Mus musculus: one gene and its partner. The protein of the gene in region 1 interacts with the protein of each later gene in a pairwise test. Links are inferred from orthologs where the notes say so. Each region holds a gene or a part of one and is shown on either strand. Other genes may lie near its edges.

What was found. The genes of interacting proteins can lie anywhere in the genome.
Region 2: the proteins of Ms4a12 (region 1) and Pllp interact in binary tests that used the Homo sapiens proteins (3 or more experiments, as listed by UniProt). The two-hybrid records come from large-scale screens. The link is inferred for Mus musculus from reciprocal best matches to the Homo sapiens genes MS4A12 and PLLP.

The regions. Positions count from the first base shown.
Region 1 is NC_000085.6:11,229,654-11,233,849, forward strand, and holds the start of Ms4a12 (membrane-spanning 4-domains subfamily A member 12), read right to left. Parts: upstream 2,801-4,196; 5' UTR 2,716-2,800; intron 896-2,715; 5' UTR 888-895; coding exon 627-887; intron 1-626. UniProt on the Homo sapiens protein: May be involved in signal transduction as a component of a multimeric receptor complex.
Region 2 is NC_000074.6:94,693,443-94,697,677, reverse strand, and holds the start of Pllp (plasmolipin), read left to right. Parts: upstream 1-1,435; 5' UTR 1,436-1,507; coding exon 1,508-1,642; intron 1,643-4,235. UniProt on the Homo sapiens protein: Main component of the myelin sheath that plays an important role in myelin membrane biogenesis and myelination. Plays an essential function in apical endocytosis. Regulates epithelial development through the regulation of apical endocytosis.

The DNA.
Region 1 (4,196 bases):
GTGTGTGAAGAGGTGTGGGGAAAGCTTAAGTAACGATGGTCAGTTCTGTCTAAGCATGTTGAGTCTTTACTACAAATCATTCGTGCTTTACAATGCTCAGAGAAACAAGACCATGGGTGTCCAGCTCAAATCAACTTTTGTAAATCAAAGCAACAAAGACATAGCATTTCCAAGGATAGTTTTTACACTTTACACTTTGCTTTCCTCAGACAGTTTGCTAGTAGTGCCATTCCCTTTAAAACAGTTATCAATGATTGTTTTAAAGTTAATTTGTCTTTATAGAAATGTAGATTAATAACTGATCCAAGACAAAAGTAAGGTTTCCTAAAAAGACTTTCAGAGGCAATGAGACCAATCAAGAAGTAATTGGCTCTAGTCATGTCACCATTCCTGGATCTTCCTGTTAGGGAGAGCCTTCTGTCAACTCTTAGACTTGTATCTGAATCTAAAATAAATGAACCTAGGGTGACTCATACACAGATTGACCATTTCTTTCTGAGAGAGACACAGTTAACAGAATAGTCCTTACATGTGTTTGCTCATTGGTTGATATGCTATTTATAACTGGCAGATGCATAAAAGCCTTGCAAATGCAACATTAAAATCCTAGTGGCAAATACACTTACCCCAAGTGCTATTGCTGCATCTTTAACATTGCTTATTGCTGCTCCTAGAGCTGGATTTACCGTTGGCACATTTTCTCGACCCAGCTGTGTGTTAGGGAAGATTCCTGGAGATGTAATGAAGGAAACTTGCCCAGTCTGTACTTGGTTTCTTACGTTTAAAAAATTCAGAGGTTGTGGAGGATGAGGAGCCATGGATCTTGTTGGTGGGCAAGGATTTGGAATGCCACGCGTTCCAGGGTAGGTAGTCTGGGAAGATGTCATTATGTCACCTAAGCAGTACAAAACATACAGAAATAACACATTTACCAGGAAGAGAAATTAAAGGACATCTTGTCATCAATTTTTATGCAAATAGGAGAGAGAGCAAGTGAGCACATACTGGCTAGTGACAAGAAATAGATGCAGTTTCTAAGACTAAATATTACTCCAGCTATTTTTAGTCTCCAACTTGATACTTCACTTGAGTAGCTTTCTCAATTAAATTTCTGTTAGCCTGTATCTATGCTGTAAAAGGATAGATGTTGCCATTCAAATGGCCAGAATAAAGGTTGAATGATGACAATTTTCATAAAGCCATTGTAAGAGTTCCCAGCATAGGTCAAGAGCTTGGTGATGGCAGTGACTATTGTGTTATTAGAACCCATCTTATTTCTTATTATCTTATTTCAAATAGAGGATGCGTGTCCATTTGGTGAAATGGGTTGAACTTCAAAAGGTCAATGCCAAGAGCAAGGAGACAGGAGATGGGTGTATAAAGTCAGAACAAGAATTTTCCTGGGCTTTAAAAAGTATAGAATTAAATGATTGTTCTATGAGAGGGGAAGGAGAGGGAGGGACACACACACACACACACACACACACACACACACACACAGTGTGTATTTTTTGTCTCTGATAACTTTGCTAGGGAAATTTTAAGACTTCTTATCTGTGATCTAGTTTTTGAACATGGAAGTTTCACATGGAACACAGACTATTAATACCTAACTCTGTAAAACACATCTCAGGATGGATTTGTGCCCAAACTGCTGAAGTTTTAGAAAATGATTAGAAAATGACCCAGTTCTACATTTTTTGGTTCATATGAAAATGACCTAGTATGTAGATGTGGAAGTGATGCCAGGGAAACAGGATTAAGTGATCCTCCAATCAAAATGAAGATCCAAACTGATCCTTCAATCAAAATGAGGACCCAAACAGATCCTCCAGTCAAAATGAGGATCCACATAAAGGGAAGACAGTCAGCTCAGTGCTGAGTCTATTGTCATAGTTTTGTTTCTTTTCTTTTCTTCTTCTTTTTTTTTTTTAAAGGAGTTAGCACATTTTTTTCTCTTAGCAAATGATAAGCTATTTACAACCAGCTTTTTTCTGAAAAATGAGAACTAACAACCATTTTCAAGCACACAAACACATAAATAAAAACACCAAAGTTCTGGTGAATTATAAAGCATAAGGACTATAGCAATAGGAGAAAAACCAGCTGGTGAACTAATCCAAGTAAAGATGGGAAAATATGACTGTAATTTCTTACCACCTCCTTTCCACCTTTGTTTGAAAAGAAGGAAAATGATACTATTGTTTAGAATGTATTATATAGCATATAATGAAACATCACAGTGACTCATAGACACTTCCAACCGAATCATGCAGGACATATGTCTGAAAATATCATCTTTCAGCAAATATTAAAAAATGCTGACCCAGTGAAGGGTGATTTCCCAGTCTTCATTTTCCATAAAGAAGCCTCTTTAGTGAATCATATTCAGAAACTGTGTGTTTCAGTGTCTCTGTTATGCGTGGACCCTCGATCACGACACTGTCACCAAGGGTTCCTGCTTGCCGGTTACTATTCATGGAATTTCATACATGTGTATCCACTATCCTTAGCATTAGATTTACACACATGGGTATGTGTCTATAGATTCGCTTGAAGTGCCTTTAGTAGTAATTGTCTTGTTTCTCTCCGGGTTTCTCTTTCATTCGTCAACTGTCTCAATACAGATTTAAGAATTGGCTTCACCTCTCCCACCCAGAGAGTAGAATGTGGCAGCAAACCCACCCAAACAGATCAGCCCCGTTCCATACCCACCGAGAAAGGCAGGGTGGTTTCAGTGGACCTATGCAGCTTCCCAGAACCTCTGGGCTCTCTCTTTCTCAGCTATATGTTCTGCTCTGATCTTGGATATTTATCTGGGATTTATAAGTGCCTTTACTTCCTTGCTTCAAGCGAGCCTATCCTATCTTTATATAGTTCCAAAGTCCTTTCATTAAGCACTTTCACCCCATTTGTAAATTTGAGAATGCGTTGTAGTTTGTATTTATGCAGGGAAGTGTGTTCTGACTCACTTATGCTGGGAAGTGACACTTCCAGACACTTCTTGTTCCTTTCTCCAGCCCCTTAGCTTTCTGACCCTCACTAAAGCAGTGCCACACCACGTTCTAGTGCCTTTTAAACCAGACAAGTACAACTGTAAAACACAGACAATGAAGAACAGAAAGAGGAGGAGTAAAAGTGCCTGCACTCTGGACACCTGGACACTGCTACTGAGGATAATTCATCAGGATTCGCAAACTTTCGTGTGCCAGGATTCGTGTTACATACAGATGTACATGGTGTTGTAAAGACTCACCAAATTAAGGTAGATTGTGTAGGTTTTCTATACTACACCCTTTTAACTTACCATTTTATTAATACCTTTACAGGTCAATCAACCCTTATAATTCTCAATACTGTTATGTTATAATTTTGGAGGCAGTCTAACTATTCATGTTCATTTGTGTCTTAGAGGTGCAAACAAGTGTCCTAAGAACAGAGATCCAATGTATATTCTTGCCTTCAAAAGCCCCATGGCTGTCAAGTTTCACATGTGGTGAGATCCATTGAGCAAGTGGGATCAGTGTCAATTCTTTTCACACACACACACACACACACACACACACACACCACTACCACCACCACTACCACCACCACCACCACTACCACCACCACCACCACCACCACCACCACCACATGAATGGTTAGGAAAGAATGGTTTTTGAAAATATTGTTTTTATTTATTCTTTGAGAATTTCATACAATATATGCTCATATAATATATATGGAAAAGAATATTTTATTCTTTTTTTCCTTTCCCAAATCCTCTCAGGTCCCCATCACCTCCCCAACCACCCGACTTCATGTTCTTTCTCTCTCTAAAAATGGATAGCCAACCAACCAACTGTGGAGTCCAAGTAGGTCAACTACTCCTGAACATGTGGCCTGTCCTGGAGTATGGTAGATACCAAGGGCCATTCGGTTGAGGAAAACATATTTCCCTTCTCCTAGCAGCATCAATCGTGACTAGCTTCCTGGCTAGGAGTAGGACTTTTTAAAAGAGTTTGCTTTTAAATTATCTTTGTGTATTAATGGTGGTTTCCTTTCTCTTTTGGATTTGTATTTGTATGTATTTTTTCTAAAGTAGACAACATGATGCTGGAGCATTTGTGATGTTATGGACCTTAGAATGTGACAGTTTGAGTCAATGGTCCTGCTCAAAGGATGGGCATCATTAAAAGAACAAGAAATCAGAA
Region 2 (4,235 bases), on another chromosome or scaffold:
CAAAAGAAAAAAAGAAGAAGGAATCTTTGCAGAATGTTAGTGATGGGGTGATTGAATAAATACTTAAAATTCCTGATTTGAGGATATTGAACTGTATTATCTGATGGGCAATATAGTCATGACCATATCCTTACAAAAGAGATGAGAGAGAGAGAGAGAGAGAGAGAGAGAGAGAGAGAGAGAGAGAGAGAGAGAGAGAGATATCTTGTGCATAGTAAGAGGAGAGTTGATGATACGAGGAGAGGCAGAGCTAGGTAGGGTACCAGAATCCCCTGCCGGCAGGTCATCTGTAATCCCAGCCTGCAAAGACCTGAGGTACGAGGAATGTCAAAAGCATGAAGTCAGTCTGGATTACAGAGCAATCTCCTGTCTCAAGACAAAAAGTGGGCAAAAGTACCCCAGAGGTTGCCTGAGCTCAGGACACCATGACTGTGTCTCCGTGATGATGCCTTTGCATATCTAGCCTCCATCACTGAGAAGAAACTTTTGTTAGGACCTTGAGCTTGTGATAAGTTGTCACAAGGAGCCATAGGATAGTACAGTCACCTACACAGCTTCTGTGACCTGGTCCTTACCCACTGGGGGTCAGTGTCACCCTCATGTGCTCAGCTCCAGTCCCTTTGGGGACCTGCTTTCTATTTCCCCAACTGCCTAGGTTGGTCCTGCCACTGCGCCTTTGCTCCTCACTTAAATCCTCCCAAGGTTTCCTCCTACTCACAGATTCAGGCCTCTGCACAAATGTCACCACTTCTGACAGGTCTTCCTTGACTAATGTGCTCCTTCCTTTTCTGTCAACTTAATACAAGCTATAGCAATCCAAGAGGAGGGAACCTGGATTGAGAAAATGCCTCTATAAGATCGGGCTCTAGGCAAGCCCTGTAGAGAATTTTCTCAGTGATTGATGGAGGAGGGCCCAGTCCATTGTGAGCGGTGCCATCCCTGGGTCCTGGGTTCTATAAGAAAGCAGGCTGAGCAAGCCAGGGGAAGCAAGCCAGTAAGCAGCACCCCTCCATGGCCTCTGCATCGGCTCCTGCCTCCAGGTCTCTGCCCTGCTTGAGTTCCTGTCCTGATTTCCTTCAGTGATGAGCAATGATATGGAAGCATAAGACAAATAAACCCTTTCTTCCCCAATTTGCTTTTGGTCATGGTTTTCTACCACCGTAATAGAGACCCTAAAACAACCATCTAAAAATCTCCTGGTCACTCTGCCTCGCCCTGTTAGATTCAGTCACAGCAGCAGTTGCCACTACCTGGATTTATTTTTTCCTGCCTGGCTGTCTGTAGATCGGTCTACGGACTTCTTCAAAATCTCTATCCAAACAGGCGAACCCAGGGTTAAGGGGCGGGGCCTCAAGAAGGGGCGGGGCCTCGGGCGGAGCGGGGCTGGGCTTCGCGCACCTGTGAGTTCTGTCTAGGGTACCCAAGCAGCGCCAGCAGCCGGAGCCGCAGTCGCAGCCCCGGAGCAGCGCCGGGAGCGCGGCCAGAGCGTCGTAGGCTCGCGATCGCTATGGCGGAGTTCCCGTCGAAAGTGAGCACGAGGACCAGCAGCCCCGCGCAGGGCGTGGGAGCCTCTGTGTCTGCGCTGCGACCGGATCTGGGCTTCGTGCGCTCCGCTCTTGGGGTGCTCGCGCTTCTGCAGCTGGTGAGCCGGGTAGCTCGGGGACTGGATGGGGGACTCTCCGGGGACCCCCGGGACGCTCACTCCCAAGATCGCCGGGAAGCTTGCACCTGGGGACGCTCGTGTGACATCCCTGCGAGCACAGCATGACTCTTGTGGAGGGGACCATACACACCCTACCCGGGTGGTTACCGTGGCGATACCGTAGCTGAGATAGCTGCGCACAACTGTCCGCCAGTCTGTCCCTTCTCTTCTACCCTTCCCCCTTCCCTCTGGGACCGTGCCCTGGCTTTCTCCGCCGGGCAAAGTCCACTGCCCTCCTCTTCACCCGGCTTTAACCACTAAATGCGACCGCTCTGTAGCCCTCCTGGACAGGGCAGAACACCACATCAGTGGCTCTGACACGCGCGCTCCCACCAGGGCACCTACCCAGGGTCTGCTGGTCGAATCTCCTTCCTTGGGCTGTGGAGATTCGCAGAGGCAAGAAACCACGTGTCTGCCATCCCCCGTACTCTGTGCAGGTCCCAGCTGAAGATCCTAGAGTTGCCCGTTCCCATTGGGTGCATTCTGAGATGTCAGCTGTCTTTTCATAGTCCCCTCCTGCGAGGGTCTGGAGGCCTGTGGCTGCCCCTAGGGAACGGTCTCCATTAACTGAGAGGTCCGCTGGTAGAGGAATAGGGTAGCACCGCAGGTGGGCATGCATCTGTTTCTGTCATCATCCCTCCAGTGGGCACCTCGAGCCAGGCTGCCAGGCCGGGCTGGGGAGTCGGGAGGCTTTCCTGGGCCATCTCCACCTAGGGCATACATACTATCTTGGTTTCGAGATTTCTGATCTTCCTTGGTGAGCCTTCGCCCTTCCCCCTTCCCCCTTCCCCCTTCCCCCTCCGTCTCCTCCCTGGGTTTGTTTAAAATTCAGATTCTTGGGCCCCAACCCCGGAAAAAATGTGAAACTGCTCTTTGAATCTCCAAAAGCGCAGCAAGAAATTTGCATTTTAATGTCTTCTCCTGGAGTGGTTTTGGGTACTGTTTGGTTTTGATGAGATCAGGGAGGGTAGCATGAGGCTCTCTTCTGGGACCAATTTAACTCTGCCGCGCAGACACTGCCGACCCTGGAGTGTTGGGCTCTTGGTGATTGCCTTGTTTGTTTTATTTATTTTGTTTGATTCAATTTGTTTCTGTTTTTTTGAGACAAGAGTCGCATATAGCCCAGATTGGTCTTGAATTCCCTCTTAGCCACAGCTGGCTTCCAATTCCTTGTGTAGCGGAGGCTAGCCTTGGACTAGACCTTCCCCAAGTGTTGTAATTACTTTCTGACACCACCACTCCAGGGGTTTTTCTGGTCTCTTTGAACCTCACACCTGAGAGTCAGCTTTGGGCTGGGGGAGGAGTTAAACGGTTTGTGAAAGGGACAGAGAGGAGAGAGGTCTAGGAAGGAGTTACGGGGAGGCTAGAAGGGTAGTTTTTGAGCTAAGCCTTTGCAGGGAGTGGTGTGGGGACAGCAGACACTGTAGTGCACAGGCTGAGCGGGAGTTGTAGCATCGTTTCTGGTCTGGCTAGGAGCCCAGCATCGTAAGCATCTAGGGCCAGAACTGGGGTCCTGGTTGTGTTGGTGGTCTTGGTAGGTTCTGGAGCATGAAGACATCAGGGTGTGAAATGATAGATCCCTTTTACTCTTTTCCTCCTTCCCTAGATTCGTTCCAAAGAACTCACTTGGAGACTATGCCAGCCGCTGCTTCCTAAGATGTTTCTGTGGCAACCTACTACTCCACTGGGGCCGAGGGGGGAGGGTGGGCAGACAGGTACCATACTTGCTGGAAAGCCACAACAGCACACTGGAGGCTGGTTGTTCTAGACCTTTTGACTAGGTGGGTTTAGTTTGTTTGTTTTAGTTGTTGTTTGTTTGTTTGTTTTGTGGGGTTTTTTGGTTTTTTGGTTTTTTTGAGGGGGGGTTTGTTTGTTTGAAAGACAGGGTCTCTCAACATAGCTTTGGCTTCCTGGGGAGCTGTTTTCTGACTCCTCCTCGGCCTCTACTCTTTATGTTGGTTTGCTCTTACATTGTGGGGTGTGGCACATCAGAGCAAGTGGAAGAGGCTCCATGCCTAGTGCCTGCCCCTGGGGATCAAGGAAGGCTGCTTGGAGGAGGCAGTAGCTGAGGAGATGGAGGTCTTTGCTGGCCAGGTTGCTCTGTCTACTAGGGTATAGAGGGCCCTGCAGCGATGGAAAGATGGATGAGAAGCAAGGCCAAACTTCTGGAGCAAAGCACTGCTCTTCATCTAGCATGGTAGTTCATCTACAGAACCTGACATCTACAGACATCTGATGGCTTTTACTACTCCATAACTGCCCATACCCATCTAGCTCCAGAAAGGATACTGGATGGTGCTATTAATTGTTAATACAGAAGAGTCAGTGTATTTCTAAAGCCTGACTTGAGAGAACTTTTAAAGAGACATCGCCTAGCAGGAAACCTGCAAGTTTAAAATGTTGGCTCAAGGCTGAGCTTCCTGGTAACATAAACAAAAAAAGAAACATGAATCTTCATAGCTATCGTCTAAACAGGCAGGCAAGTTTGACCTAGAGACAATTCTTTTGCTTCATGTTACAGTTCTTTGTGAAG